7 linked regions of the Xenopus tropicalis genome follow. The protein of the gene in region 7 purifies or fractionates together with the protein of the main gene of each other region. This does not show direct contact. Links are inferred from orthologs where the notes say so. Each region holds a gene or a part of one and is shown on either strand. Other genes may lie near its edges. The genes, in order: smarcb1, mta2, bcl11a, bcl11b, znf512b, sin3a and chd3.

Region 1 (4,637 bases), on a different chromosome or scaffold from region 7:
TGGCATTCTCTGTATTTCCTATGATATTTAGCACTCTCACCGGCAAGTAAAATCTGAGGAATGGCTAAAGGACCTTGGTTTTGTATACTGTAAAGAATTAATCCTGCAAATAGAAAACACAAATGTCCTATCCTACTTTCAAGACTGTATAATCAATTTGCAAGTAGAACAAAGAGTTTTAAAGCCAAGGAATTTGGGTCAGGAGAAATAAAACCTATATTAGTTTGTGCATGTGTGCATGAAAAATTATGGCATTCACTTATTGCTGTGCTAGTGGCCGGCCTTTTCTCAGCCAGCAGAGAAGTGCCAAAATCCTTGAAAGGATCCTGGGCTATTTCATCCAAATTAATGTTTCCATTAATATTAATTACATGCTTCTCATCTGGTTTAGGTGTTTCACAGCCAGCTGAAAATACTATGTAAAATGAAATATCCAGGATTGGATCATTATCTTATCTTATAACCTGAGGTCAGTTGGCATCTCTGCAGAACAATGTTCCCTATAAGCAGTGCGCTCACACACAACAATTTTGTATTTATTTTTACCTGAGCAGTTTTTAAAAACGTGCACACAAGTTTAAAATGTATGCACACAAGTTTTTTGCACACAAAGCCAAAAAGTAATGAGGGAACGTTGCAGCAGGTCTATTTCATAGCCCTTAATTGCTTGTTAGGGCAGGGTTGGACTGGGGCGGCCGGGGGCCCAATGGGACTGCCACCTGGGGACCCTCCATCCCAGTTGCGACATCAAACCCCGTCCCCCTACTGCATTTTCTCCTTACAACTGTGATAAAAGGACTGTGGGCCAGCACCTAGTTATAGGAGGGAGCAAAACTGGGTCAGGACAGCCTACAAGGGCCAGGGCCCTGCCGATCCAGTCCATACTCGGTTTGAGGGCTGCCAATGGCCTATTGTTGAGTGGTGTAACTACTACCCCATGGGCATGGTTGCAAACTTTGCACCAAGGTCCCTCTCAAGACATGAGCTGCCGTGCATACTAAACATATCATTAAAGGAACAGTAACATCAAAATATGAAAGTGTATTAAAGTAATTACAATATAATGCACTGTTACCCTGCACTGGTATAACTGGTGTGTTTGCCTCAGAAAGACTATTATAGTTTATATAAGCAAAGCTGCTGTGTAGCCATTCGAATGAAAAAAGGCACAGGTTACTTAGCAGATAACAGATCAAATGCCATTGTATTCTACACAGTTTGTTATCTGCTATGTAACCTGTGCCTTTTCTCCTTTTTTCCAGCTTGAATGGCTGCCCCCGGGGCTACACAGCAGCTTATTTATATAAACTATAGGAGCGTTCTGTAGCAAATACACCAGTTTTACCAGTGCAGGGCAACAGTACATTACATTTTAATTACTTTAAAACACTTTCATATTTTGGTGTTACTGTTCCTTTAAACGTTAATGTCCACTGTGGGTTTCGGGTTCCAAAATATTAAAAGGCCGGTATTTTTTTTTCTAGAAAAAGTGGCAACCCTTGGCTGATCTTTAGTATTTCCGCACTAATAAAAATACTAAGTAAAACTATTTTACGAAGCCGCTACTTTAGTCAGCGTACAACCAAACTACGCCCGCAGGCAGCTATAAGTTGTGCGCTGAAACGCCGCGCATGCGCTTTATGCAGTTCCCTTGACGCCTGCGCTTCGTGTACTACGTAGTTGGCACATGCGCTGTTCGGTGGGCCCGGTGTTGGAACGGAGGCAGGATGATCATGGCGTTAAGTAAAACGTTTGGCCAAAAGCCAGTGAAATTTCAATTGGAAGAGGATGGAGAATACTACATGATAGGATCCGAGGTACGAGTCCAGGGCAAACGTTAAACATCTCCGCTGAAGCTGCGTAATACAAACGTGGGGGAGAAAGGGGTTTGGGACAAAGGATTCCTTCTTTGTTACAGGCACTGTTGTGGGCGAGACCAAGGTTTCTGTAAATCTTCATGCGTGTAAAAGAAAAAAACCAAAACAATAACAAAAGGGGGGCGGGTTATTAGTTAGATAAAAAAGAGTGGTATATCCAACCGGCGGGCCCTTGTTTCACTACAGCTCTCATCACTCCCAGAATGAAGGAAGTGCTAGTAGTTTTAAAGCAGCTAGACCTACAAGTTGAACGCACTGGTGAAGGGAGAGGTGGCCAATGGGGGATGAATTTGAAAGTGCAGCTGACTGGTTAGAAGTGCAGCAACAGAAAGCATGAGGTAAACAAAACATCTGTAATAGAAATAGGCTGCAACTCCTACCTTTCCCCTAAATCCTCCTTTCTGGAGGCCTGCTGTGTTGTGTAGCGCCTCATTGTATGCTGTCACTTCAAGGTGTACACATTATATTTGGGTCTGTGACCAAATTTTGCAGCCTGAAAACGTATTATTGTTTTGACTCTTAAATACTTTGTCTTTTATTTACAGGTGGGAAATTACTTGCGCATGTTCAGGGGATCATTATATAAACGGTACCCTTCCCTTTGGAGACGGTTGGCAACAGTAGAAGAGAGGAAGAAAATAGTAGCGTCTTCTCATGGAAAGAAATGTAAATATTAGTAGTTTTTTTTACCTGGTTTGTCTGGTGAAAGAACAGCTTGGATTAAGTTGAATGCACCAGTTGTCTATGGCAGCCCTGGGATTTCCGAATTTTTACCTGTACTATCTGGATTTGCAAGTCTACTATCTCCAATGGTGCTTTGTTCTAGAACCTTATAACCCAAATACTTGCTTCCGTGGGATATTTCTGGCCTCTGTGGAACACATTACATTACATTAACATTTATTTATAAAGTGCCAACATATTCCTCAGCGCTGTACAATAAGTGGGTTACATACATTGGACATAAAGAGTAACATATAAAGCAATCAGTAACCGATACAAGAGGTGAAGAGGGCCCTGCCCAAAAGAGCTTACAATCTACAAGCACCTGCATAGCTTTCACTACCGACTCCAAGGATGCCCCGCAACTGCAAATACCCTCTCTACCTTAAATTACTGGGCCATCCCCCACCACTATTATTCCCCGGCTACCATTGTGGGGAAACATATATTTGATATCTCCAGGATTTTTTCCTGGAATCATCACAGGCTCAAATACCTAGGTGGCCACATTATAAATACCATCTATTCAACATATATTTTACAACAAAAATATCAACTACCTCATTTGCCCTTCTACAGATTCTTTTAGTTGCGACGTGCTTTCAATTTACAACTTTTAACCTATACCTCAGACCTTGTACATCTAGTATTGAGAACATAACTCGGATAGGTCCAGGCTGGTTTCATCTGGTGGGATGTGCCAGCTGGACACATCCTGTTCTGTTGCACAATGGTCTGTTGAAACCCACCCCAACCTGTCATGCATGCTCAGACAGTTGGGCTGAAGGGTCCAGATCTGCCAACCAAAGCTGGCCATGCTAGGACAGCTTTACAGAATTCAAAATTCACAAAAATGTAAACCATTTCAGATTGTCTAAGAATACCTAATCTAAGCTATTTTCAACCAGCTTTTGGCAATTAACATTGTTTCTACTATAATTTTAAGATGACCTCCCTTAGTTTGCCACATTCATAATTTCTTGTTTTAATGTAACCGAACTACTTTAAGTATAAAGTTTTTAAACCTTTTACATATTGCTGTTTTCTTCCTCCTTAGATCATGGATATACCACTTTAGCTACCAGTGTTACTCTCTTAAAAGCTTCAGAAGTTGAAGAGATCCTTGATGGGAATGATGAGAAATATAAAGCAGTCTCTATTAGCACAGAACCACCAACCTACCTCAGGTGAGTGAGGCACACATTTGAGGTTTTTAGTCATATGAAACATTTGGGAACCCCTCTCAGCCTGCATAATAGTTTACTCCACTTTTAACAAAAAAGATAACAGTGGTATGTCTTTCATTTCCTAGGAACATCTGAGTACTGGGGTGTAATCTGAACAAAGATTTTTAGTGAAGCAGTATTTAGTTGTATGAAATTAAATCATGCACTGGCTGTGCAAAAATTTGGGTACCCTTGTAATTTTGCTAATTTGAATGCATGTAACTGCTCAATACTTATTACTGGCAACACCAAATCGGTTAGCTCGTTAAGCCTTGAACTTCATAGGCAGGTGTGTCCAATCATGAGAAAAGGTATTTAAGGTGGCCAATTGCAAGTTGTGCTTCTGTTAGAGTCTCCTCTGAAGAGTGACAGTGTGGTTTAGGGAAAGGCTACAGAAAGCCATCTCAGAGGTTTAAACTGTCAGTTTCAACTGAAAGGAATGTAATCAGGAAATGGAAGGCCACAGGCACAGTTGCTGTAAAACCCAGATCTGGCAGGCCAAGAAGAATACAGGAGTGGCATATGCAGAGGCTTGGGAGAATGGTAACAGACAACCCAAAGATCACCTCCAAAGACCTGCAAGAACATCTTGCTGTAGATGGTGAATCTGTACATCGTTATACAATTCATACATCTGTATGGCAGGGTGATGAGAAAGAAGCCCTTTCTGCACTCATGCCAAAAACAGTCACTTGTTGTATGCAAAAGCTCATTTAGACAAGTCACAGTCATTTTGGAACAAAATGCTTTGGACTGATGAGACAAAAATTATTTGGTCATAACAAAAAGAACACTGTCAAATTTGGTGGAG
Region 2 (4,468 bases), on a different chromosome or scaffold from region 7:
TACAACCATTTACTAAGGTGGCCACACACGTGGCGAGCTGACGATCTTTCGTGCGACCATCGGTCGCACGAAAGATCGTCAGATCTGCCACTAACCTTCAGGGCTGAAACAGGCAGATAAGGAGGTAGAAACAATAGGATGTCTACCTCCTTCTGCCGATTCAGCGATGAAGGCAGATTTTGGTCAGGGGCCTTCTATGGCGCCGGATCAAAATCTTTTAACTGGCCCGATCGGCGAGTCGACCGATATCAGCAGCCTCCTGCGATATCGGTCTACTCGTCGACTTGCCATACACGCACCGAATATCGGACGAAACGAGGTTTCGTACGATATTATTGGTGCGTGTATGGCCAGCTTAAAATGGCAGGAAACCTCCAGGCCGTCCCATAGTAAGTGCTATAAAGTCTATTTTACAACCAATAGCTATCTATATGGACTTTCTTTAACCAAAACTACAAGGGATATCTAGAATAAGGACACTGGGGACTTTTTAACCAAAGTTAAAACAGCATTGCCTTTATCTCTCAACAGTAAACTTGCTATAGACGTTCTTTATATAGTGATCCCTACATACTTGGGTATCCAAACAATCCGCCAACATCCGATTGCCCATCTAGACAGTACATGGCCATGTAATGAATTTCTTATGGAATTACTGGAATGCTGTCTCTCCAATTATTATTTTAAATTTGAACTTTTATACTACCAATAAGTTAGTGATACAAGTATGGGCTCTAATGTAGCCCCTTCCTTTGCCAACTTATACACGGCTGATTTCAAACAATTATACTCACCCCTTACAAGGACAAAATCACAGAATGCAGTATTTCATTTATGAAACATGGAGCAAGCAGGAGCATGCACAGTTGAATCTAGTGCGGAATCACAACTCTACATACTCCTGCAGGGTCAGTGTTGGCGGAGAGACACAAAGAAGATCGAAGGGAGTGAAGATGGAGCCTGCAATCTGCGCTGTGCTGCATTTTTATTTCAGTTGTTCAGATAGGGACACTTTGTTATTAAATAGACTATGCAGGGTAGGAAAGGTGAGGAGGCAGATGGAGGTCAGTTGAGTGGGGCTTTTCTACCTAGGGGGTTTAGTTCTCCTTTAAAATCAGGCATCATGTGATTTGTTACATCCTGTAATAGCAAGAGCCTTTCAATCAATAAGCACCAATTATAAATGATGACATTACTGAGCAGCACCTTTATTGAATTATTCACACATTTTGTGTAATATATATTACACACACACATATATATATATATATATATATATATATATATATATATAATACACCGCATATTACAGAACGATTTGTATATTATATTCCATAAAGCTCAGATAGAGTAAACTTAAACCATAGGGACGTGTATGTCGTTACTCACTAAACCAGCATTTTACCAGTTATTAAAAGTAAGGGATACTAGCAGACCAACTCTGCCGCACATCACTTTAATGCGTCCACAACTACTTCCTCCTTCCGAGCGCGTTCTACTGACTGCAGCCTTTGTGCGTCGTTTACTTCGGAGAAGTTCGGGTTTTCCCGTCTCCCTCTTCGGAAGTCATCAGTTGATTCCGGAAGCACTCGTTTATGTCCGGATATAATTCTTTCAATCGAACGCTTTGTCCCTCCCCCGGAAGGCTGCTCGCTTCTTTATGCCGGAAGTTGCCCCTCTTTCTTCCCCTTCCTCTCCCCCCACAGGCCCCGGAAACGCGCGCAGATTCCCGAGTTATTGTGCGCGGGAGAGAGCAAGATGGCGGCTAATATGTACCGGGTGGGAGGTGAGAACTCACAGTAAAATCATTCTGAGCCGAAAGCATATCTGTAGAGCTTTATACTATGTAGTTAAACACACACTTTATCCGCTGTAGAGGGAGAGTCTATACCCATACATCATCTGTACAGAGTAGCGAGCACCGAATGCTGAATTAAAGTAAACGCTTTTTATTTACATGCAGAAATGTAGAATGATTATCTTTATCTTATTTCTGTGCATTGTGTGTCTTTAGTCTAATGCAGAAAATATATAATACACACATAATATATATATATATATATATGCACACATAGATCATAAATATATATATTTATATACATACACACACACACACACACAAATGTCAGTATGTAACCTAAATACTAAAATGCTGCTGTGCTGTTTCTGCAGTATTAAACTAGCCCGGTTACTCTTTACCTGACTCAATCACACTCAGCCTAGTTTAGTGGCCGGGGCTGTTAGGACCACCCCTTATGTACCCTGCCTGTTTGTCACTGTTCATAATATTGATCAATGGAAACTGCCCTGACTTTGTGCACTGGCTTCTGTGAGGTCTGTCTGTCTGTCACTGCTTGTGTGTGTAAGACAGGGAGCTTCCATGAGAATAACCCCTGCTGATCTTGCTCAGAGGGCTTCTGTGCCAAATTGCTTATCAGGTAGATGACCCTGTAACCAGGACTGTACTGCCAATCTATGGAATCTGGCAAATGCCAGAGGGGCTGCAGGTAGATTCTATAGGCAGTCAATATTTATTGGGCTTTTTGGGCCTCTGTCTACTTGAAAAGCCAGGGCCACTTTTGATTGTCAATCTTGACCTGACTGTAATCCACTGTTTCTGGGCCATGGCTGCCCAAGGACATGTTGAACTCTCATTATCCTGCAGCATATAACTATAACCTGTCTATCTTGAACACAATCAAAGCTGGTATTTACACAACTTTTTTATCCCCAAGTGTTAATTTTCTTTACACTTGTTTATACATATTTATATAGGATTTTTTACATTTTTTTGTTTGCATAAGAAATTTGTGGGTATTTACAATTTATTTTCTTAACTAACCTTTATTAACATTCCATAATCTGTGAAAGAGCCTTCTTATTAATGTAGTCTGATCATTTATCCTTTGTATCAGTTGTGGTGCCAGTAAAGCTTACAGTCTAATGTGATAGATTGCATTCACACAAGTGGATGAATTTCATCAGGTGTCGGTTAAAAAGAAGGGAAGTTCAAGCACCCCCCCTTCCCACAGTGATTACAGTTAGTTGCCTGGTACCCAGGGCCATTTCTCCCATTTGCTGAAAACTGCACTGGACTGGGGTATTTTTGTAGTGGCACCACAGGGCAATTCTCTTCCTCTTTGCTTTTTAAGCTGGGAGTGCAAGCGCAGTAAAGTGAAAAGCTGCAGGGCTGTGGAGTCGAGGAGTCGGAGGCAATTTTGGGTACCTGGAGTCAGTCGGCAAAAAATGAACCGACTCCTACTAAATTTAAATGGGAATAAAAAAAAAATAAAGCAAGTTTAAATGTCCCAATTCACAAACAGTCATAATTAATTACTTCTCTGCTATAAGAATAAAGCCCAATGCACGCAGTGCATAAACAAACACGTTGAGTGACCATGAAGCATGTTTTTCATTGACTGTATGAATGTATAAAATACATTAACATGTTAAAAACAGAGGAGTCGGAGTCGGAAGTATCAGAAACTGAGGAGTCGGAGAATTTATCTACCGACTCCACAGCCCTGAAAAGCTGAACTAAAAACAAAAGTCCAGCCTTTTCATTCTACACCACCGTCTCCTTTAATAAGCCTACATGTTTTTGTAACGTGGAATTAAACTGCAGTATAATAATAACAAAGGTGTATTGGATTCATAGGAAGCAGTATGTTAAGCTTATATGTGATGCCTACTGAAATATGTTTTATATGTTTCAGGACAGTAAAGAAATTTGCCTGCTCAAAGTACCTATGTTAACATATGTTAAGTCCCTATAGTTACATTTTTTTTTTTTAGTAGCCCACCCAAAAAATAGTAACGGTCTATGGCATCTTACAGCAGCCCCTCTGGCATTTGCCAGACTCCACAGATCGCCAGTGCGGGCCTCATAGCAACTAATTAGATGTTTGTTTTTAAAGAGCTGGCCAGTAAACACTACTTGCCGATTGATTAATAGATGTGGGCTAGCTTAAAGGAACAGTAACACCAAAAAATGAAAGTGTATAAAAGTAACTAAAATATAATGTGCTGCTGCCCTGCACTGGTAAAAGTTGTGTGTTTACTTCAGAAAGTCTACTATAATTTATATAAATAAGCAGCTGTGTAGCCATGGGGGCAGCCATTCAAAGGAGAAAAGGCACAGGTTACATTGCAGATAACAGATAAGCTCTGTAGAATACAATAGTGTTTTATTTGTTATCTGCTGTTATCTGCTATGTAACCTGTGCCTTTTCTCCTTTTTTCCAGCTTGAATGGCTGCCCCCGTGGCTACACAGCAGCTTATTATATAAATTATAGTAGTGTTACTGTAGCAAACACACCAGTTTTACCAGTGCAGGGCAACAGTGCATTATATTTTTATTACCTTAAAGCTCTTTAATTTTTTAGGGTTACTGTTCCTTTAAATAGGTGATTCACCTTCAAGTTGACTTTTAGTATGTTATAGTATGGCCAATTTTTAGCAACTTTT
Region 3 (4,401 bases), on a different chromosome or scaffold from region 7:
GATCTCGCCCTAGCTAGTAGTGTTTCTGAAGTGAACTTTGCAAATAATAAAAGCACAATGAGAGCTTGAACAGAGGACTCTATCCCTCCCTCTTCCTCTCTCTGTCCAAACACGTGGATAAAAGGCAAACATGTCAGACAGTCAACAAGGAACCTCTCTGTTTTAGGAAAAACCTGTTTCCCTCCCCTCCCCCTCTTACACAAGCCTCCTTGCTTCCTTCATCTGGGCTAATGGAGAACAGAACGATGTAAACTTTAAAAAAAAAAATGGACGGGCAAAAAAAAAAAGTCCCAACTAAACCTCTGACTTAAAGGGGTGCACCCCCAAAACTGCTTTTTGTAAATTAAAGAAAATCCCATGTACATTCATTCAAAAAGTTCAGTGGTTTTATTTGTAAATGTAATTGCTACCAAAAATGGTATTTGCTGATCCCTTTCTGTTCTCTGACTCTTGAAACAATGTAGCAGAAGCCAATTCTCCTCAAGGTCTGTTAATCAGTTGACTTCTGCTACATTGTGCCCGCAGTCAAAACCAGAAGTGCAGACAACGTAAACAGCCAGAAACATAGCAAAGACAGCAATTTCATTTACGAAATAACTTTTACATTTTAATGAATGTATATATAGGAAAGATGTTTAGAAATGCGATTAATTTCAGTTTTTGGGTGGGGGTAAAAAAGCAATTACTACACAACTAAATTGAGAGCTGGTAATCTGATAAAATAATGCATGTTGGCATACCACGTTCATTTCTGACCCATTTATGAATGTTACTTATTTACAAAGAGGTGGGTGATTTTTAGCAAGTGGGGAAAACGGGTCTTATTCTGCAAGGCAACGTTTTTCTTTCATTGTAACATTTATGAGGAAAGCGAGTTAGTGTATAAATACAGTTTTCAAAATAATTCATCATCAATAAAATATAAACTCGAAAACTGTTTATACCTTAAAACTGGGTTGCTCTGCGCAAATAAATACATGAATAATTAGAGTGAGATGAGGAAAAAAGACAAAGAAATGAAGAGGAGAAAATATATTCTACCCATTCACCCCCACCAGGAAGAAAAGGAATATGAAAATGAAGGAATATACATTGAACGAGTTAAAGGTTTAAGCTGATAGGTTTCCTAATCTTCCTCTGCTCCCTAGCGGTCAGATCTGGTATCTCTAAGCAAGTCTTAAGTGAAACCTCATGTTGGTGATCAATCCCCTGGAGCTCCCTTGGCAAGGGGTGGGGGTGGGTTCAGACAGAAAAAAAGGCATTATTGCTGACAACAAGAATGGAAAAAAGTTAACTGTGAATAAGAAAATAATACACCAATATAAACTATAAAAAGCAAATATCAACATGTAACAAAGACGTGGAACAATAACTAAAAATATGAAATTCTATTCCCAAAGGACTGGGTCATGCTATGGGGTCATGTCTGATATCCGGTATTGTAAATGTGATAAGATGCAAACACCCACATTTATATAAAAGATCAACAGACAAAAGGAAAGAGAACCTGAACCAAAGAGCAACAAAATGATAATATAAAGAAATACTACAGGTAAAATGACTTTCACCTATGGTCTGGCCGGTACCTGAAGGGGTCGAAGAGATTTATGGAATGAAAGAAATGTGTCATGGGGAATCCATGCTGAACAAAAACAAAAAACAGATGCAAATAAGCACATTTTTTTCAAGAATCCATAAATGTCACAACAAGGGGTTTCAGACACCAGGAAACAATATGGATATATAGATGACATAAATCAGTCTGGAACCTTTTCACATCAGATCGAGGGAATTCTGCACTGCACATTCACACGTTATTTTTTTCACAAAGCGGCGAAAAGTGCTCGGCACCCAAAACAACAACACCAACAACTTGCTTCGAGAACCCTCTCCAACCTTTTCTGAGTCACAAAGTGACAGACAATTTGATTTCTTTCACGGCCGAGCTGCCTCTTCAGAGGGTTTTTGTGTGCGAGTGTGTGCGTGTGTGTGCATTCTGTTGCTTTTTTTCTGGAGATTATTTTGCTTTTCCTGTCCTCAGTTGTTGGCAGGAGGCTCTGCACACGCGGTGCTTGTAAACATTCAGACACGAGATTTTTCCCAATCAAAATCCACTTCCACTTTTTTTGAAAATCTTCCAAAAAATAGTAAGAGAGTGAGAGCGAGAGAGGGAGCGAAAGGGAGAGAGAGGGAAAAGGAAGGGATTTCCTCTGCCGGCGGTGGAACGAGGAAAAAAATAAAAAGTTTTGAAAGAAGAATGAAGATTTCTTTGGGAAGAAAAGCAGCAGCAGCGGCCACAGAGGAGATTCCCTCTTGCAGCAGTCTCTTTCCCTGGGCTCCAGCGAGCAGTTGATAGAGCAGCCTATACAGCATGCCCCATGCCTGCAGCAAGCCAAAAAGCACCCAGCGCTGCCCAAACCTTACACCTTCAGGTCACCACTTTTAAGTTCAAGTAAAAGAAGAATTGCTCATAAAAAGCCCACACTTGCCTACTGATTCCCATGTCATCCCTTCTGCATGGTCTCTGTGCTGTGGCCACTATCACCCCCACTCTCTGCAACATTTGGCTTTTTACCCCCTCTGCCACAATCTCTTATCCTTTCTATGAAAAGTATTTGGCTTTCTACTTCTGAAGACATGAAAGGCTCCATAGAAAGTCTTGAAGATTTTTTCCCCCTTCTTGTCAGTGGTTTTGTCATGCTCTCACCTTTTGCATTGGAGCAGTGGGCAGCTGTGCGGGCAGGTAAGTGTGGGATCGGTACTTACGTGAGTATTCCCGTTTGCTTAAGTGCTGCGGCTTGCCTTGCTTGCGGCGAGACATGTCGGTCGGTGGGTGGCTCGTAAGAGCTCGGTTCACATCGGGAGAGCAGGGTTAGAAAGAAGGAGACTCCAGAGAAAATATCTTCATCAAATGCCTTTGACATCCAAAATAAATTAGAAATAATACAAAGATGGTGCGGGGAAGATGAATTGTGGGACAAGCCGTCATGACATTTTTTTTTTTTTTTTTGGAGGGGGGTGAAAAAAAAGGAGAGAGAGAGAGATAGAGAAGGAGAGAAATGAAAAAAAATGGCAAAAGCCCCCCTGAGCTGCAAGTTCAAGTGCGGACGTGACGTCCCTGCAAACTTGAACGTCAGGAGCTGGATGGACAGAGACATAGAAAACATGGGCAGGGCCAGTGGGAGAGAAGGGGAGGAGGGAAGCCAACACCAATGGACATTCATAAGGGGCTGGACAGGAAAATGAGACCCGGGCAAAGCCAATGGCCAGTGATGAGAGAGAGAGGGGGGTGGGAATGAGGGCACACACGGTACAAGCGGGAGGGGGGAGGAGAAGCTACACACAGGCTGCTGGTACTACTGCCGCTGCCGCTGCCGCTGCTTATTGAGAGGGAGAAAGGAAATAAGGCGAGAGGAGAACTGGAATGTGATCCTGCTGTGGAGATAACACAGGGGAAAGGGATCACAGTCTCTGGCACACTCACTGGGGCTAAGGGGGGCGAGCCCAGGGAGCGGGGGGGGGGTGGGAGAGACAGCAAGGGGTCAGGGAGAATCACCTCACGGGGTATAAGATGGTGCTGAGACCTACACTCGGGCTGGGGCGGCAGGAGAATGACGGGTCCGGTATGAGGAACCATGAGAGGGAAATGGAAGTTAGAGGCGAGCCCAGGGAGGGGTTTATGAAGTTGTTGCGGGAAGAAGTGAGTGGGGCGCTGATGGTACAAGACAGGTATTAATATTTAGCACAAGCACTTGTGTAGAAGGCGTCTCCATGAATGTGCGATAGGGCTGGGGGTGGGCGAGGATACACTGTGGCGCTGGGTGCAACATGGGAACATGCTCACACCTCACACAGGGAGTACAGCACTGGCACACAGAGAGGAAACATGCTCCCACCTCACACAGGGAGTACAGCACTGGCACACAGAGAGGCAACATGGGAACATACTCCCACCTCACACAGGGAGTACAGCACTGGCACACAGAGAGGCAACATGCTCCCACCTCACACAGGGAGTACAGCACTGGCACACAGAGAGGCAACATGCTCCCACCTCACATAGGGAGTACAGCACTGGCACACAGAGAGGCAACATGCTCCCACCTCACACAGGGAGTACAGCACTGGCACACAGAGAGGCAACATGCTCCCACCTCACACAGGGAGTACAGCACTGGCACACAGAGAGGCAACATGCTCCCACCTCACACAGGGAGTACAGCACTGGCATACAGAGAGACAACATGCTCCCACCTCACATAGGGAGTACAGCACTGGCACACAGAGAGGCAACATGCTCCCACCTCACACAGGGAGTACAGCACTGGCACACAGAGAGGCAACATGCTCCCACCTCACACAGGGAGTACAGCACTGGCATACAGAGAGACAACATGCTCC
Region 4 (3,846 bases), on a different chromosome or scaffold from region 7:
TCCATCCAGCATGTCACCTGGTGGTGTAGAGAACCGCAGACTTCCATTTTCTGAAGAGTGCTCAGAAGAAGTTGCAAAAGGAGATTGTCGAGAGTCTGTGAATCCTAGAAATGGATCCTTCATGAAGTGCCTTGATGCTGCATATCCTACTAGCCACTGTGAGTAAACGTTTTCTGATGGGATTATTGGTGTTGGGGGTAAATCTAGATCTTTCTCAATTTTTATCCTTTTTGATGAGTTGTTTAGTCCAGAACTAGAAATAGGCATTGGCTTTCGTGGGAGCAAGCCTGGAAATGGTTCACCTGGGCCAAAATTTCCATTAACTGTCCCTTCATCATTGGGGATTATTTCTCTCTCCACTGTATCTTCATGCCCTGGAATTCTCCTACATAAAATTTGCTGATCAGATCGTTTCATGAAATGACTTCTTTTTTGTTTTTCATGCAGCATATCACTATATGCCTGCATGCCTCCTAAATGTACATTCTCCATAACTTTTCCAAGAACAAGGGACTTCTCATCATGGATTGGCTTTGCTCCATTTTCACGATTGCGGCTCATTTCAGAGTCCATACTGAAGCTTGACTCTGGCCTACTTTCATTCTCTATTTCCTCCTCCTCCTCCTCTTCTTCTTCTTCCTCTTCTTCTTCATTTTCATGGCCTAAAGATGGATCACTTTCATTTCTAAAATCTGTCTCACTGGATTTTACACCCTCTCCTGTTAAATCACTTGTGCCTGGCTCTGGTGAGCTAGTAGCAGACAGTCCATCATCAGACCTTCCAGTCATTGAACCAGCTTTGTGCATATGTGTTTTCATGTGACGTTTTAACTTGCTTGCTTGGGAACATGCATGATCACACAGCTGACACTTATAAGGTTTTTCTCCCGTGTGACTGCGACGGTGGACTATTAAATTACTCTGGAACTTGAAGGTTTTCCCACAGAATTCACAGGATTTGCTCTTTGCCTGGGTCTGTGGTGGAGTAGTACTGCTGGGGGGCATGGGTGGCAATGGTGGTGTACTAATAAAAGGTGACTTAGGGCTTGGCTGAAAAGGGTTTAACAGGCGATGCATAGGATTGCCGCGGTTCGGTGACACTGGTGGTGGAGTGGAGTTGTTCCCTGCTAGTTCTCTTAGCCTTCGGGAAAAATCCATTGCTGGAGATTCAATTGTCATGGGGTTTAAGCGCATAACTCTGTCAAAGGCACTAGGATGCTGGGCAACTAACCCCATTTCTTCGGCACTAAGGCGATGCGGGTCCAGATGGTGGCGTGGGGGTGGGCTGAAAAGTGGGGGTGTGTTTGGGAGCCGAGCCTCACCAAAGCCTGGGTGATCACGTAGAATAGGTCCTGTCATTCTTAAAAGGTTGAAGGGATTAGTGTCCCCAAGGAAATTCATCAGAGGGGATGGTGCAACAGTCTCCGGTCCCAGAGGTGGAGGGATAGTGATACGTGGAGTAAGAGAGTTACTAGATGGGCTTGTTTCCAGGTAGATACGAAATCCATGTGTATTTTGAGCATGCTGAAGCAGGAACCATGCGCTGTTAAAAGGCTGCTTGCATGTTGTGCAAATATAGCTTGAAGGCTCATCTTTACCTGCCAAAGACAAAAAAAACACAAAATATAAAATATACTAAACTGATTTTGTATTAAAAGTTTTACATTAAGCTGCTGAAAACTAAATGTGCTCAGTTGCTTTACATTTCTTATACAAATATTTAATTTTCCCACTATGAAACACAAATAACTATAACTAATGTATACATCTTATTCCACTCTTAGTATTTTACAATAAAAAAAGCCTGTTTTATTCATTTTATTACTGATGCACTGTTTAAGAAACCATACACCCTCTTCTCAACATGAGTTAAATTCACAGATTTTGTGTGATTAAAACATAAGTCAAAAAGTATGTTAAGCACAAGACCTATTAAAAAGGAGGTATACTGCCCCTTTAATGAAAAAAGCAAAAATAAAAACCTACAGAAAAAGAAACCCTGTACTGAAAAACAATTCGGGTTCAAGAAGTTCCATAAAAAAACTTCACTCTTTATACTTCCATATAAGGTTATAAAGTAGCTGAATATTTGGAAACCATAGTTTTATTATTATTATTATTATTATTATTATTATTATTATTATTATTATTATTTATTTGAGCTTAAAATGGCTTTCTATATATGCAACTTTATTTGTTCTAACAAAGCAAATGGTGCATGAGATATTTTGGGGCTGATTTATCACATTTGGTAAATTTTACAAATTTGTTAACAACTCGCTGGGAATCCTGAGAATGGAACAAAGGAACAGTCTTTTGATATTTAAAGGCTAATCAAATATTGACAGCTTGTGGAGCAAACAAGAGAATATATCAGTAGTTATTGAAAAAAAAAATAACAGCACTCTTAGTGGACATGTAGTTGTTGATGGAAAATGTTCATATTTATGTATGCCAGGACAGACAGTTGTTCCAGCATGAAAAAGTTTTTAATGAAATTGTTGGGGTGTTTTAATAAATGTGTCATTTAGTTTAAACCTTTCCTGACTGTCAGTACTGCTGAAAATCCCTCTGTATTCCCCTGTTGTATATTTTGGAAATATGCCCTCATTTTTCTCTGTTTGCAATAAAGTTATTTGTGTATATAGTAATTTATAACTAATAGGTTTTCCATCTTGATTCTTCTGTTATATATGTTTCTAATCCTTCTTTAACAAGCAATTCAATAATAATAGTCAATAGTCAAGTAACATACTAGTCAACTAAAATGGCTGGGCTTCTGGCTGTCTTTTGAGTATTAAAGATGGCACAGACATAAAAACACATTCTATCAATAAGACTCCAAAGGCTATGAGCAATGCTGGCCATAGCTAGCAAATTGACCACAGGAAGCTTAGTGGTATCCAGTGACAAACAAATGTCTCTGTGAAAATATTCCCTCCTATAATCTCCAATTATAACATCCAATTATTAAATGTGTATATATAAATAGATAGATATATATATGCTGCAAGAAAAAATTAGAAATTGTTTTATTCAGGTAATCATGGTAGATCCAGTCTATTTAAACTGACTGAAAAATTATACAGTTCATTTGCAAAGATGTCTTGAAAATAAGAACCTGCACACAAGAGAACGTGCCAAGACACGATCACAGGAATTCCATTTTCTATTTGAAATTCCTAAATAGACAAACACACAAATTTATATTTACATTTTTTTTTGTGGGGGACAGAATGTTGTTTGGTTAAGCCATTGTTGTGCAATAAAAGTGATGCCATATCCTATATTCCTGCTATTTGCAACTTGAAGTACTCTCACCCACTGCTAAATTTTATACAATAGGACACGTGTCATTCAAACATGACACATTTTCTGCTCATTTGCTAAAGAGTCCATGATCTCAATTCTAAAAGCTTCATCAACTCTCTTTTTTAGCTTTATTTCATTGGCATTATCTGACACATTTTGTAACGCACAGTACCAGAACATCCACGCTGTCCTTGGTGTAGTTGTTGTTGCTCTGAAAGCAAGTTAACAAATATTATATGGACTGAATAGAATTAAATCTTAAGTGGGGACCAAACTTAAAACAATCTATGTTTCACTACCCCTTTAAAATACATTTAATATGTGACAGGAATGGAATTTAAGAATCTGAAACGCCTTGGGGCCTTCCGTAACCCAGCCCAATATGGATATTTTTTTTACATTGTATATTGATTTTGTACTGTTATTCTGGGTCCAAAGGCTAATTTAGAGAAAATATTTTGCTTACAAAAGTAAAACAACATATTATACTACATAAAAATAAAATTAAAAATAAAATAGTAATTACCCTTTTAT
Region 5 (3,846 bases), on a different chromosome or scaffold from region 7:
TCCTGTATTGTACCCCCCTGTACCCCCCGTGTCCTGTACTGTACCCGACCCTGTACCCCCCGTGTCCTGTATTACCCGACCCTGTACCCCCCGTGTCCTGTATTGTACCCGACCCTGTACCCCCGTGTCCTGTACTGTACCCGACCCTGTACCCCCCGTGTCCTGTACTGTACCCGACCCTGTACCCCCCGTGTCCTGTATTGTACCCGACCCTGTACCCCCGTGTCTGTACTGTACCCGACCCTGTACCCCCGTGTCCTGTACGAAACCCGACCCTGTACCCCCCGTGTCCTGTACTGTACCCGACCCTGTACCCCCGTGGTCCTGTACTGTACCCGACCCTGTACCCCCCGTGTCCTGTACTGTACCCACCCTGTACCCCCCGTGTCCTGTACTGTACCCGACCCTGTACCCCCCGTGTCCTGTACTGTACCCGACCCTGTACCCCCCGTGTCCTGTACTGTACCCGACCCTGTACCCCCGTGTCCTGTACTGTACCCGACCCTGTACCCCCGGTCCTGTACCTGACCCTGTACCCCCCGTGTCAGTACTGTACCCGACCCTGTATCCCCCGTGTCCTGTACTGTACCCGACCCTGTACCCCCCGTGTCCTGTACTGTACCCGACCCTGTACCCCCCGTGTCCTGTACTGTACCCGACCCTGTATCCTCCGTGTCCTGTACTGTACCCGACCCTGTACCCCCCGTCGGTACCCGACCCTGTACCCCCCGTGTCCTGTACCCGACCCTGTACCCCCCGTGTCCTGTACTGTACCCGACCCTGTACCCCCCCGTTGTCTGTACTGTACCCGACCCTGTACCCCCCGTGTCCTGTACTGTACCCGACCCTGTACCCCCCGTGTCCTGTACTGTACCCGACCCTGTACCCCCCGTGTCCTGTACTGTACCCGACCCTGTACCCCCCGTGTCCTGTACTGTACCCGACCCTGTACCCCCCGTGTCCTGTACTGTACCGACCCTGTACCCCCCGTGTCCTGTACTGTACCCGACCCTGTACCCCCCGTGTCCTGTACTGTACCCGACCCTGTACCCCCCGTGTCCTGTACTGTACCCGACCCTGTACCCCCCGTGTCCTGTACTGTACCCGACCCTGTACCCCCGTGTCCTGTACTGTACCCGACCCTGTACCCCCCGTTCCTGTACTGTACCCGACCCTGTATCCCCCGTGTCCTGTACTGTACCCGACCCTTATCCCCCGTGTCCTGTACTGTACCCGACCCTGTACCCCCGTTCCTGTACTGTACCCGACCCTGTACCCCCCGTGTCCTGTACTGTACCCGACCCTGTACCCCCCCGTGTCCTGTACTGTACCCGACCCTGTACCCCCCGTGTCCTGTACTGTACCTGACGCCTGACCCCCGTGTCCTGTACTGTACCCGACCCTGTACCCCCCGTTTCCTGTACTGTACCCGACCCTGTACCCCCCCGTGTCCTGTACTGTACCCGACCCTGTACCCGGGCCCCGTGTCCTGTACTGTACCCGACCTGTGACCCCCCCGTGTCCTGTACTGTACCCGACCCTGTACCCCCCGTGTCCTGTACTGTACCCGACCCTGTACCCCCCCGTGTCCTGTACTGTACCCGACCCTGTACCCCCCCTGATGGTCGCTCTGTCTCTTGCCCCAGGCCTCGGTGCCCCCCCCGTGCCCGTTCCCCTGCCCTGAGTGCGATGCCGCCTTTGCCTCTAAGTTGCAGCTGCAGAAGCATCTGGGTCAGAACCATTCGGACAAGGACCGAGCCGAGGGGAAGGCGCCGACCCCAAGCGCAATCTCCCGACTGGAAAAGAGGTGCAGCTGCGCCCCAACATTGATTGGGGGGGGGGCTATAGTAACGGGAGTATTAATGACAATACTGGGGGGGGGGGCTATAGTAACGGGAGTATTAATGGCAATACTGGGGGGGGCTATAGTAAACGGGATATTAATGGCAATACTGGGGGGGGGCTATAGTAACGGGAGTATTAATGGCAATACTGGGGGGGCTATAGTAACGGGAGTATTAATGGCAATACTGGGGGGGGGCTATAGTAACGGGAGTATTAATGGCAATACTGGAGGGACTATAGTAACGGGGAGTATTAATGGCAATACTGGGGGGACTATAGTAACGGGAGAATATTAATGGCAATACTGGGGGGGCTATAGTAACGGGAGTATTAATGGCAATACTGGGGGGGCTATAGTAACGGGAGTATAATGGCAATACTGGGGGGCTATAGTAACGGGAGTATTAATGGCAATACTGGGGGGCTATAGTAACGGGAGTATTAATGGCAATACTGGGGGTCTTATAGTAACGGGAGTATTAATGGCAATACTGGGGGGAGGCTATAGTAACGGAGTATTAATGGCAATACTGGGGGCTATAGTAACGGGAGTATTAATGGCAATACTGGGGGGGCTATAGTAACGGGAGTATTAATGGCAATACTGGGGAGGGCTATAGTAACGGGAGTATTAATGGCAATACTGGGGAAGCTATAGTAACGGGAGTATTAATGCAATTACTGGGGGGGGCACTATAGTAACGGGAGTATTAATGGCAATACTGGGGGGGGGCTATAGTAACGCGAGTATTAATGGCAATACTGGGGGGGGGGGCTATAGTAACGGGAGTATTAATGGCAATACTGGGGGGGCTATAGTAACGGGAGTATTAATGGCAATACCTGGGGGGGCTATAGTAACGGGAGTTATTAATGGCAATACTGGGGGGGGGCTATATAACGGGAGTATTAATGGCAATACTGGGGGGGGGCGCTATAGTAACGGGAGTATTAATGGCAATACTGGGGGAGGGGCTATAGTAACGGGAGTATTAATGGCAATACTGGGGGGGGGCTATAGTAACGGAGTATTAATGGCAATACTGGGGGCTATAGTAACGGGAGTATTAATGGCAATACTGGGGGAGCTTGTAGCACATATTCCAGGGGTTGATAGCAGGGAGTTAGAGGGTTAGAGGGGGTAGGTTGTTCTTACCCCCTGTCTCTCAGTCCCACAGTATCTGGGGGCAAATCCCGGCCACAGAGGTTTCCCAAGAAGCCCAAAGTTGCCCCTTCCACAAAGAACGGAGAGATTGGGCCCCCGGGCCGCAAACAGAGAGACCCCTGCCTGTCCGACGAGGACCCCGAGAGAATGAGGCACAGTAAGGAGGGTCCTGTGAGTCTGTGGGAGGGTCCTGTGCATCAGTGGGAGGGTCCTGTGCATCAGTGGGAGGGTCCTGTGCGTTTGTGAGAGGGTCCTGTGCATCGGTGGGAGGGTCCTTTGCATCGGTGGGAGGGTCCTGTGCGTCCGTGGGAGGGTCCTGTGCATCGGTGGGAGGGTCCTGTGCATCGGTGGGAGGGTCCTGTGCATCGGTGGGAGGGTCCTGTGTATCGGTGGGAGGGTCCTGTGCATCTGTGGGAGGGTCCTGTGCATCGGTGGGAGGGTCCTGTGCATCGGTGGGAGGGTCCTCTGCGTCTGTGGGAGGGTCCTCTGCGTCTGTGGGAGGGTCCTCTGCGTCTGTGGGAGGGTCCTCTGCGTCTGTGGGAGGGTCCTGTGCGTCGGTAGGAGGGTCCTGTGAGTCTGTGGGAGGGTCCTCTGCGTCTGTGGGAGGGTCCTGTGCGTCGGTAGGAGGGTCCTCTGCGTCTGTGGGAGGGTCCTGTGCATCGGTGGGAGGGTCCTGTTTGTATGTGGCGCGTAACCCCGGCCTGTGGGTATATGGCGCGTAACCCCCGGCCTGTGGGTATATGGCGCGTAACCCCCGGCCTGTGGGTATATGGCGCGTAACCCCCGGCCTGTGGGTATATGGCGCGTAACCCCCGGCCTGTGGGTATATGGCGCAT
Region 6 (4,301 bases), about 54 Mb from region 7:
AGTGCTGTTAATAAAATCAAAAGGTGCTTCAACCAAGTTATTAGTTTAGGGGGTGCGCACTAATGCAACCAGGTTTTGTATGATTTGTTTCACTAAACTGTTGATTTGTTTTCAACTTCTTTGTACAGATCACAATTTTGTAAAAAAAGGTGGAATAAGTTCTTACAGATTTTATCTTGGTTTCTTTTTTTTTTTTAATTAACACAAACATGTGTTATGTATGTATACAGCGATGAATAGAAGAAAAATAATTTAATTAAAACAAACAAGGGGGTCATTACAATAATAGGTCAATAAATACAAAGTACGATTAATACTAATAAAGTACAGCTGTAGTAAATATGTCACAGAGCTAAGTAACAAAGAGACAAGAGTATGGAGATTCCTGTTCTGTACAGCTTACAATCTATGGCTAAGAAAACTTACAATATATTACAGTCAGTTGCAGAGACAAAGCAGTGCAGCGCTATATATTCTATTCCACATATAAGGTGCAGGGCAGACAATATGAAAGAACACAAAATAATAATCTGTCAATATTGTTATGCCTCTTTCCATATGTTTTCTGGGCTATTAAAAACCTAGACCTTTTCCGCTCGCTCTGCACCATCCGACAAACGTTTCCTATTCCGCGATTCAAGCACCGCACAGCATTCTGGGTTCCATAGTTTTCATCTATGTAAGTATTAAAAAGCAGTGCATTGTGGGCGATATCTTTTGTGTCGTACCTGCAATGCATTTTGGACGTTGTAGTTTTTTAAAAAAATTCTATATTGATTTGAGGTATGTCGTTACTGTGCACATTCAGCCCCTCCATATTCCTATAATTTCGCTCTTGTCGTCCAAAATCATTACGCGCACCTGTCACATAAACATATTTGGGATGCGCGCTGTAGCCGCGGTCTCTCACAACCTCCCGCCCAACAGAGCCCTACTACTTATGAAACAAATACAGCGGTCATTGAATCTGATAAGAGTTCTAAGTCAGCTTGAGGGCCGCGAGTAACACTACAAAATTAACATTAGACTCTACAAGCCTTAGTAAGGAAGGAGAGAACAAACAGCACCAGAGCCAAATGGGACGTGCCCTTCAAGGGGGCGGGTGGCTAAGCCCCCATGACGGAGCGCTGTCTCTATATGGCAAGAAGGCGGGGTCGAGTTTAAATGAGTTCCCCTCCCCTCTAAGGTTTTCTATGGTACACACCCACCCTCTTTTCTGTAGGGGGCTGGACTAGAACTAGGAGTCTTGGAAAAAAACGGGGGGGGTGTATCTATCCTAGCATAGAGTCCCTGACTTGGTGTGGCCGTATATTTATTTCTGGAAGGTATGTGCCTCTTGTTTATCCTAAAGGGAGCCATTCTTTGTTTGGACTGGGGCGCTGGGGTTGTAGTAAGGCCAGTGGGACACATCGAAGTGCTTGCCTTTTCGCAGATGGGGTCAGGCGGCGAGTTACGAGTCCAGCCGTGCTGCACCTCGTATGTACAGGGTGTCCGGATACACATTCCCCCGTGGCACCGTTCTCCAACCTGCGCCTAAACAGCTGCTGTTGGACTGGAATCCCCAGAGCCACGCGAGAGTTTGCTGCCTAATAGCTGTGGGTGGCGAGATCCCTGCCCTAGGGGAATCGATGGTGGCCATGTGGCTACCTGTCCAAATATGCCTGCCAATATGCTCTCATCTGTATAGAGATGACCGCCAGGCCGGGAGATGGATAGATGGAGTAGGGCTGAGACTGGGACAAATGTTATGCACCCGAGCCAGCTGGGCTGTTACTGCCCAGTCAGTTGGCATGGGCAAAGGCTGGTTTGTCCTGTCTGAGAGGGAAGAATTAGGGATCCCTTATGTTCTTAAAATGACCTTAGGTTTTTTTGGGGGGTGGGGGGTTAACGCAGTTCGTGGTGCTGGGGTTTGGGGGACCTACAGCGATTGATGGAAGGCGGAGGTTCAACGCTGACGCTTAAATCATTTGTGCCTTTAAGTTTATTTCTCCCCGAATATCACACGAGACCAAATTTTGGGAAAATGTGAGCTCGGTTTTTGCATGAGATTAATAGGAGTATAGACATGGGGTTTGGGGGGTGGTGCTTCATTGCAGTTAGGTGACTGTATTGTCTGGGAGGCAGCAGAAAACACCCCTGAACAGCCGCGCTATGTGGAAGCGGCTCCTAAATAGCCTGCCTTACACTACACTGTTCCATGTCTTCTGGTCAATGTACTATTAAATTTAATTGCCTTCTGCACGCATAACGAAAACTAGCCGCTATCACTCACGCTAAAACCTCTACTCTCTCCCTTCCTAACGCGCTTAATAATTCTGAGATGGTACGTGCCTCAGCTTTATCCTTTTTGGCCCCGCCCTATCTAAACGCTATTGGCCCTCTCCAGTACCTAGGCATCCTGTATTTTCATTGGGCAGAGTGATTGCACCGCCCTTATTCGCTGGCACTAGGCATCGACTCCGTGTTCTCTTCCGTGTAAGGCGTGGCTTAACACTATTGGTAGGGCGTGCATATTGCTGGTCACTCCTGGTCATAGGAAGCGGAAGCTGATAGCAGGCAATGGTTGGCTAGTTGTGTTGTACCCGGAAGTGCTGTCCAATAAGCTTTACTTTATGGGCCGACGTTAGCCAAGGGGCGGAGCTGAGGACAATGAGGCTGCTCTTCTTATACTCCTCCCCAGAAATGTAGCCTTAAGTTTCATATACGTTTATCGTCTTATTTGTCTCCAAACATTTTTTGATTAATACAATGTGTGAAAACAGTATAGACACTGTGGTCGGAACCCTAATGGTAGCTTATCCTTGATTTAGAGGCAATTCTGCAATCTGACATCAAGTTTTGTGTGTGCTAAGTACGAGAGAGAAAGGTTTGCATCTTGGCTATGAAACATCACACTTTTGATTAGTCAGCACCAGGCAGCATTGCTTTATCATAGGCTATAGACATTTTACTACGTTTATTTTAGGAATATAACAACTCCAACTCATGAATGGCATACTGAAACATTATAAATGCTGCTGTGCCTTTCTATGGACCTAATGCCCTTGGGATGTCGCAATTATGATTAAAAATGTCATACTATAGTGTTAAAGAAAAAAAAAATTTGAAATGTCTGGTGGAAGATGTAAACCCTAATAATGTGAACTTGTATGTATATTTACACTGCACTGCTTGTGCATGCTGTGCTGTACAGTAGGACAACACAATAATAGAACAATTTAGACAGGTCCCCATCAGGTCACAACAAGGTTACAGATATAGAAAATCAGTGTATATTCTTATAAATAGTGGCATTAGTTATAATTGGTCATACACATTTTTAAGAAATACAATTTTTCTTTAAAAAAAAGTACATTTGAAATAACATTTACGTTTTATGACTATAGAAACACAACTTTAACCTGTTATATTGCGCCTTTTAAAAGGGTATGGAACTCCTGTTTTACAAAAGAGACTGCATTAATCCCTACATAAACTTGCTTCATGCACATCTATAATCTAATTATACATGACATCCATCAACATGCTGTGAGATTAGATCAGCTCATACAAACAAATTATGGAGTGCATAGAAAACATACATCAGAACTGTTTTATACCCAGTTCTTAATCAGTTTTTAAAAAGTGTCACATAACCCAGGAAATCAAGAGGCCATGTGCAAGAAATTGGTAGGGAATTCATAAAACAGATGTTAATTTCACTTTGTCGTGTACAAAAACGGCACTGTCAATATTGCATTTTTGCGTAACTCCCTTTCCCAGGAGGGTTTAGGCATTCCTTTATACTAAGTTGGTTAGGTTGTTAAGGTGGCCATACATCCATGGCCACCTCTGTATATATCTGCAAGTTTGGGCCAAATGATGACAGCAGAAAGAAGTAAAGAAAATCTGCAGATTCTCTTTTTACTTGACTAGTAAAAATGTTTCTGATGGATTGGTAATCCTCAACTCATCAGGATTATGTGCCTGAATGGCAACTAGCCATATAAATTTATTTGGTAGTGTGGTCGAAATCAGGCAATTGCACAACCAAATCTGTGCATGTGTAACCAGTTTTACACATTTTTCTCTAAAGAGGCCAATATCTCCAGTTACTGGTCTCTATCCTATATTAAATAGGAATACAATTCCAAATGTGATTTGCATTATTTAGTTTAGGACTTCCTAGGTACAGCAACCCTCACTATTCCTAGCATTTATTAAATGCTTCTCTTGGACTGTTATTCACAGGGAGAAACACTGCAGTATGGTATGTGACATGCTTAAGTTCATGTCATGTAACATCACCCATAGAGCATACT
Region 7 (4,632 bases):
TTTTTCACATTTGGGATTCGAACTCGTGTTTTAATGAATCGGCTCCATAATCTTTCTATTTATAGTCCTGTCTCTTTCGAACCACCGCCTGGTTGCTATGTTAAATTGGACCCTGGTAACCAGGTTGCTGCTGAAATTCCAAACTCGAGAGCTGCTGAACAAAAAGCTAAATGACTCAAACGCCACAAATAAAAAAAAAAAAATGAAGACCAATTGCAAATTGTCTCAGAATAGCACTCTCTACATCAAGGGTGCCCAGACTTTTTCGCGCGGTGATCAACTTTGGCTCCTCCTTGCGTACATACGCATACCCAATAAAAGCTCTGCACTTCCCAGCTAAGACTCAGTCCACGGGGGATCGACCGGTGGACTGCGATTGATGTTTTGGCCACCCCTGCTCTACAGCTTACTAAAAGTCTCAATGATCACTGTAAGTAGCCATGTACCGACCAGGTTCCCCATCTTTAACCAGACTAAAACCCCCAGATTAGTTAATAATCAGTTATAGGTTATGGCAACAGCACATTGGAAGATTATTTCATTATTACCTGGTGCACTACTGGCCCAGGAACTTACCGGTTGGAAAAATGGAAGCCCAGTGTCCAGGCAGTTACCATTAAAGTCAATGGATTCTAAACGAGCAGCCCACCAAGCTGCAAAAGCCTAAATGATGCTGGGAGTTGTAGTTTCAGTTAAAAATGATACTTGGTGTTATCAACAGGAAATAAAGAAAACATAGATAGGGAAGCGGGGTTAAATCGAGACCTCAAACAGAGAAACACCAATGTGGAAATATGAAATGCAAAATGCTAAGTACAGATATGGGACCTGTTATCCAGAATGCTCAGGACCTGGGGTTTTCTGGATAAGGGATCTTTCCATAATTTGGCTCTCCATAACTTAAGTCTACTAAAAATCATTGAAATATTGAATAAACCCAATAGGCTTGTTTTGCCCCCTATAAGGGGTAATTATATCTTAGTTGGGATCAAGTACAGGTACTGTTTTATTATTACAGAGAAAAGGGAATCATTTAACCATTAAATAAACCCAATAGGGCTGTTCTGCCCCCAATAAGGGGTAATTATATCTTAGTTGGGATCAAGTACAGGTACTGTTTTATTATTACAGAGAAAAGGGAATCATTTAACCATGAAATAAACCCAATAGGGCTGTTCTGCCCCAATAAGGGGTAATTATATCTTAGTTGGGATCAAGTACAGGTACTGTTTTATTATTACAGAGAAAAGGGAATCATTTAACCATTAAATAAACCCAATAGGACTGTTCTGCCCCAATAAGGGGTAATTATATTTTAGTTGGGATCAAGTACATTTACTGTTTTATTATTACAGAGAAAAGGGAATCATTTAACCATGAAATAAACCCAATAGGGCTGTTCTGCCCCAATAAGGGGTAATTATATCTTAGTTGGGATCAAGTACAGGTACTGTTTTATTATTACAGAGAAAAGGGAATCATTTAACCATGAAATAAACCCAATAGGGCTGTTCTGCCCCCAATAAGGGGTAATTATATCTTAGTTGGGATCAAGTACAGGTACTGTTTTATTATTACAAAAATTAGAATTATTTGCTTATAATGGAGTGTATGGGTGACGGCCTTCCTGTAATTCTGAACTTTCTGGATAACGGATCCCATACCTGTACCTGGATCTTTCCGCCGCTCAGGAACTTACCGGCTGTAGAAAGGGAATCACAGTAACCAGGCAGTTACCATTAAAGTCAATGGACAGGCAATTGTAAACCAGCAGCCCACTTAAGCTGCAAAAGGATGCTGGGAGTTGTAGTTTCAGTTAATAATAATAATACTTGGTGTTATCTACAGGAAATCAATAAAACATAGATAGGAAAGCGGTTATATTTTCCAATAAACACCAATGTGGAAATATTAAACGCCAAATACTATAAAGTCAATCCCTAAAATGGCACTTATAGGAATGAATAGCCCCTAATACATGAGCTGCGCATTAATATTCCCCCCTGTAGTGACCAAGGCACCCGGAGCCCCTCACTGCCAACTTGTAATGAGCGCCTAATAGAAATGGCGCCAACTTCCCCTCCCCGGCACTAACCCCTCTCTGAAAGGTGAAGGGACAGACCGCACCACTGCGAAAGGAGAGAGGGGGGGGGGGTTGAAGTGGACACCAGGGGGGCTGCCGTCATCCTGTCAAACAATAGGGGGACACCAGCCTAGCGTCCCCTTGCCCCCCCCCTCTCCCCTTATGCAGTGAGACAGTCCATCGGTTAATGCCAGGGAGTACTGGGGGGGGCCTTGAAGCCGCCCGGCATTCTCCATTCCCCCCTAGTGTTTACCTGCGGCAGCTGGCACCGGCGGCGTGGAATCGGTTTCAACACTCCCCGGCTCCCTGGAGGCTGTTGGCGGGAAATAGAGGCTGGGGCTGCAATGGCGGCTTGGTGTCGCCTGCTCTCGGCTTTCCTCCTCCTCCTCTTCTTCATCTTCATCCTCCTCCTTCTCGCCGTCCCCTTCTTCGGCCATTTCTTCCTCCTCTTCTTCCTCCTCGTCGTCCCTGAGCGGCGATGACATTGGGCTGCAGCCTCCCGTTTCCCCTCAGCTCAGCCCGGCTGCCTGCTCCGGAGCTCCCGGCCGTGCCCCCAAGGCTTTTAGTTTTCCCCCCAAAAAAAATAAAAAATATTCCCCCCCCAAAATGTCAAAAAATCATAAAACAAATGAGAAAAAACACGTAAAAAAATAAATCACCTCAGGGAAAACAGCAGCATCACTGGGTGTGGGGGGAGGGGAGCAAAATCATTCTCATTTCTTTGTTCAAAATAGGTGATAATGTTCCAGTAGGTTCCCCCTACAATCAAAAGAGATTGATAGAAATATACAAAATATAAATAAAAGGGAGGAGGGGGGGGTGGAAAAATATAAAAAAAAAAAAAAAATCTGGAGGGAGAAGGGGGATTTATTTTTATTCAGATCAAATGGAAAAGTTGACAGGGAACCAAGATGGCCGCCCCTTCAATTATTATATGTAAAGTTTAAAAAAAAATAATAAAATGAGGCTTGTGTGAGATATTTATAAACCTTCCTCATCCCTCCCCCCACCTGAATCACACACAGCAGCTACTCCCCCTTTTATTAAGAGCATTTCTATTATACACAGCAGCCTCTCTCTGGTGCAAAGAGCTGCACAAAATGGCTGGGGGCAGCCGGCAAAGGGAGTCGTCAAAATATATATATATATTTTATGTGCAAAAGGGGACGGTGTATGTATGAAATATGCCTGTGCACAGAGAATGGGGTGGGTGGGGCCAGCTGAGTGTATAGCCGGGCACATTGATTGTGTATTCTCCTCTTATAGCCCCAAATGTGAAGATAAAAACAATTGGGGAGTTAAAATGAATGCATGGTGTTTGCCTTCAGAACTTTGGAGGCACAGAAGAATTAGGGGCATGTTTATTAAAGTACGGTTGAGTCCAAATACAGAATATTTGTATTTTTTATAATTTATAGAGCTGTGCAGTGTCAGACTGGCCCACAGGGATACCAGGAAAAGTACCAGTGGGCCCAGGTGTCAGTGATTCTAACAGTTTGGCCCAGTGTCGGACTGGCCCATAGGGATACCATGTAAACTCCCGGTGGGCCCAGGTGTCAGTGATTCTAACAGTTTGGCCCAGTGTCGGACTGGCCCATAGGGATACCATGTAAACTCCCGATGGGCCCAGGTGTCAGTGATTCTAACAGTTTGGCCCAGTGTCGGACTGGCCCATAGGGATACCATGTAAACTCCCGGTGGGCCCAGGTGTCAGTGATTCTAACAGTTTGGCCCAGTGTCGAACTGGCCCATAGGGATACCATGTAAACTCCCGGTGGGCCCAGGTGTCAGTGATTCTAACAGTTTGGCCCAGTGTCGGACTGGCCCATAGGGATACCATGTAAACTCCCGGTGGGCCCAGGTGTCAGTGATTCTAACAGTTTGGCCCAGTGTCGGACTGGCCCATAGGGATACCATGTAAACTCCCGATGGGCCCAGGTGTCAGTGATTCTAACAGTTTGGCCCAGTGTCGGACTGGCCCATAGGGATACCATGTAAACTCCCGGTGGGCCCAGGTGTCAGTGATTCTAACAGTTTGGCCCAGTGTCGGACTGGCCCATAGGGATACCATGTAAACTCCCGGTGGGCCCAGGTGTCAGTGATTCTAACAGTTTGGCCCAGTGTCGGACTGGCCCATAGGGATACCATGTAAACTCCCGGTGGGCCCAAGTGTCAGTGATTCTAACAGTTTGGCCCAGTGTCGGACTGGCCCATAGGGATACCAGGAAAACTCCCGGTGGGCCCAAGTGTCAGTGATTCTAACAGTTTGGCCCAGTGTCGGACTGGCCCATAGGGATACCATGTAAACTCCCGATGGGCCCAGGTGTCAGTGATTCTAACAGTTTGGCCCAGTGTCGGACTGGCCCATAGGGATACCATGTAAACTCCCGGTGGGCCCAGGTGTCAGTGATTCTAACAGTTTGGCCCAGTGTCGGACTGGCCCATAGGGATACCATGTAAACTCCCGGTGGGCCCAGGTGTCAGTGATTCTAACAGTTTGGCCCAGTGTCGGACCGGCCCACAGGGATACCAGGAAAACTCCCGGTGGG

The links.
Region 1: the proteins of chd3 (region 7) and smarcb1 purify together in Homo sapiens (affinity purification with mass spectrometry; 3 studies listed by BioGRID, with this or other methods). This does not show direct contact. The link is inferred for Xenopus tropicalis from reciprocal best matches to the Homo sapiens genes CHD3 and SMARCB1.
Region 2: the proteins of chd3 (region 7) and mta2 purify together in Homo sapiens (affinity purification with mass spectrometry; 8 studies listed by BioGRID and IntAct, with this or other methods). This does not show direct contact. The link is inferred for Xenopus tropicalis from reciprocal best matches to the Homo sapiens genes CHD3 and MTA2.
Region 3: the proteins of chd3 (region 7) and bcl11a purify together in Homo sapiens (affinity purification with mass spectrometry; 3 studies listed by BioGRID). This does not show direct contact. The link is inferred for Xenopus tropicalis from reciprocal best matches to the Homo sapiens genes CHD3 and BCL11A.
Region 4: the proteins of chd3 (region 7) and bcl11b purify together in Homo sapiens (affinity purification with mass spectrometry; 3 studies listed by BioGRID and IntAct, with this or other methods). This does not show direct contact. The link is inferred for Xenopus tropicalis from reciprocal best matches to the Homo sapiens genes CHD3 and BCL11B.
Region 5: the proteins of chd3 (region 7) and znf512b purify together in Homo sapiens (affinity purification with mass spectrometry; 3 studies listed by BioGRID and IntAct, with this or other methods). This does not show direct contact. The link is inferred for Xenopus tropicalis from reciprocal best matches to the Homo sapiens genes CHD3 and ZNF512B.
Region 6: the proteins of chd3 (region 7) and sin3a purify together in Homo sapiens (affinity purification with western blotting; 3 studies listed by BioGRID, with this or other methods). This does not show direct contact. The link is inferred for Xenopus tropicalis from reciprocal best matches to the Homo sapiens genes CHD3 and SIN3A.

The regions. Positions count from the first base shown.
Region 1 is NC_030677.2:153,168,166-153,172,802, reverse strand, and holds the start of smarcb1 (SWI/SNF-related matrix-associated actin-dependent regulator of chromatin subfamily B member 1), read left to right. Parts: upstream 1-1,725; 5' UTR 1,726-1,727; coding exon 1,728-1,817; intron 1,818-2,422; coding exon 2,423-2,543; intron 2,544-3,657; coding exon 3,658-3,787; intron 3,788-4,637.
Region 2 is NC_030680.2:36,848,616-36,853,083, reverse strand, and holds the start of mta2 (metastasis-associated protein MTA2), read left to right. Parts: upstream 1-1,639; 5' UTR 1,640-1,758; coding exon 1,759-1,786; intron 1,787-4,468. UniProt on the Homo sapiens protein: May function as a transcriptional coregulator. Acts as a component of the histone deacetylase NuRD complex which participates in the remodeling of chromatin.
Region 3 is NC_030681.2:33,979,100-33,983,500, reverse strand, and holds the start of bcl11a (B-cell lymphoma/leukemia 11A), read right to left. Parts: upstream 2,955-4,401; 5' UTR 2,822-2,954; coding exon 2,767-2,821; intron 2,744-2,766; exon of another isoform or gene 2,661-2,743; intron 1,985-2,660; exon of another isoform or gene 1,897-1,984; intron 1,672-1,896; exon of another isoform or gene 1,587-1,671; intron 1-1,586. UniProt on the Homo sapiens protein: Transcription factor. Associated with the BAF SWI/SNF chromatin remodeling complex. Binds to the 5'-TGACCA-3' sequence motif in regulatory regions of target genes, including a distal promoter of the HBG1 hemoglobin subunit gamma-1 gene.
Region 4 is NC_030684.2:90,433,166-90,437,011, forward strand, and holds part of bcl11b (B-cell lymphoma/leukemia 11B), read right to left. Parts: intron 1,599-3,846; coding exon 1-1,598. UniProt on the Homo sapiens protein: Key regulator of both differentiation and survival of T-lymphocytes during thymocyte development in mammals.
Region 5 is NC_030686.2:1,315,089-1,318,934, reverse strand, and holds part of znf512b (zinc finger protein 512B), read left to right. Parts: intron 1-1,646; coding exon 1,647-1,807; intron 1,808-3,015; coding exon 3,016-3,167; intron 3,168-3,846. UniProt on the Homo sapiens protein: Involved in transcriptional regulation by repressing gene expression. Associates with the nucleosome remodeling and histone deacetylase (NuRD) complex, which promotes transcriptional repression by histone deacetylation and nucleosome remodeling.
Region 6 is NC_030679.2:93,379,022-93,383,322, forward strand, and holds the start of sin3a (paired amphipathic helix protein Sin3a), read left to right. Parts: upstream 1-1,219; 5' UTR 1,220-1,325; intron 1,326-4,301. UniProt on the Homo sapiens protein: Acts as a transcriptional repressor. Corepressor for REST. Interacts with MXI1 to repress MYC responsive genes and antagonize MYC oncogenic activities. Also interacts with MXD1-MAX heterodimers to repress transcription by tethering SIN3A to DNA.
Region 7 is NC_030679.2:146,946,559-146,951,190, forward strand, and holds the start of chd3 (chromodomain-helicase-DNA-binding protein 3), read right to left. Parts: upstream 3,064-4,632; 5' UTR 2,569-3,063; coding exon 2,337-2,568; intron 1-2,336.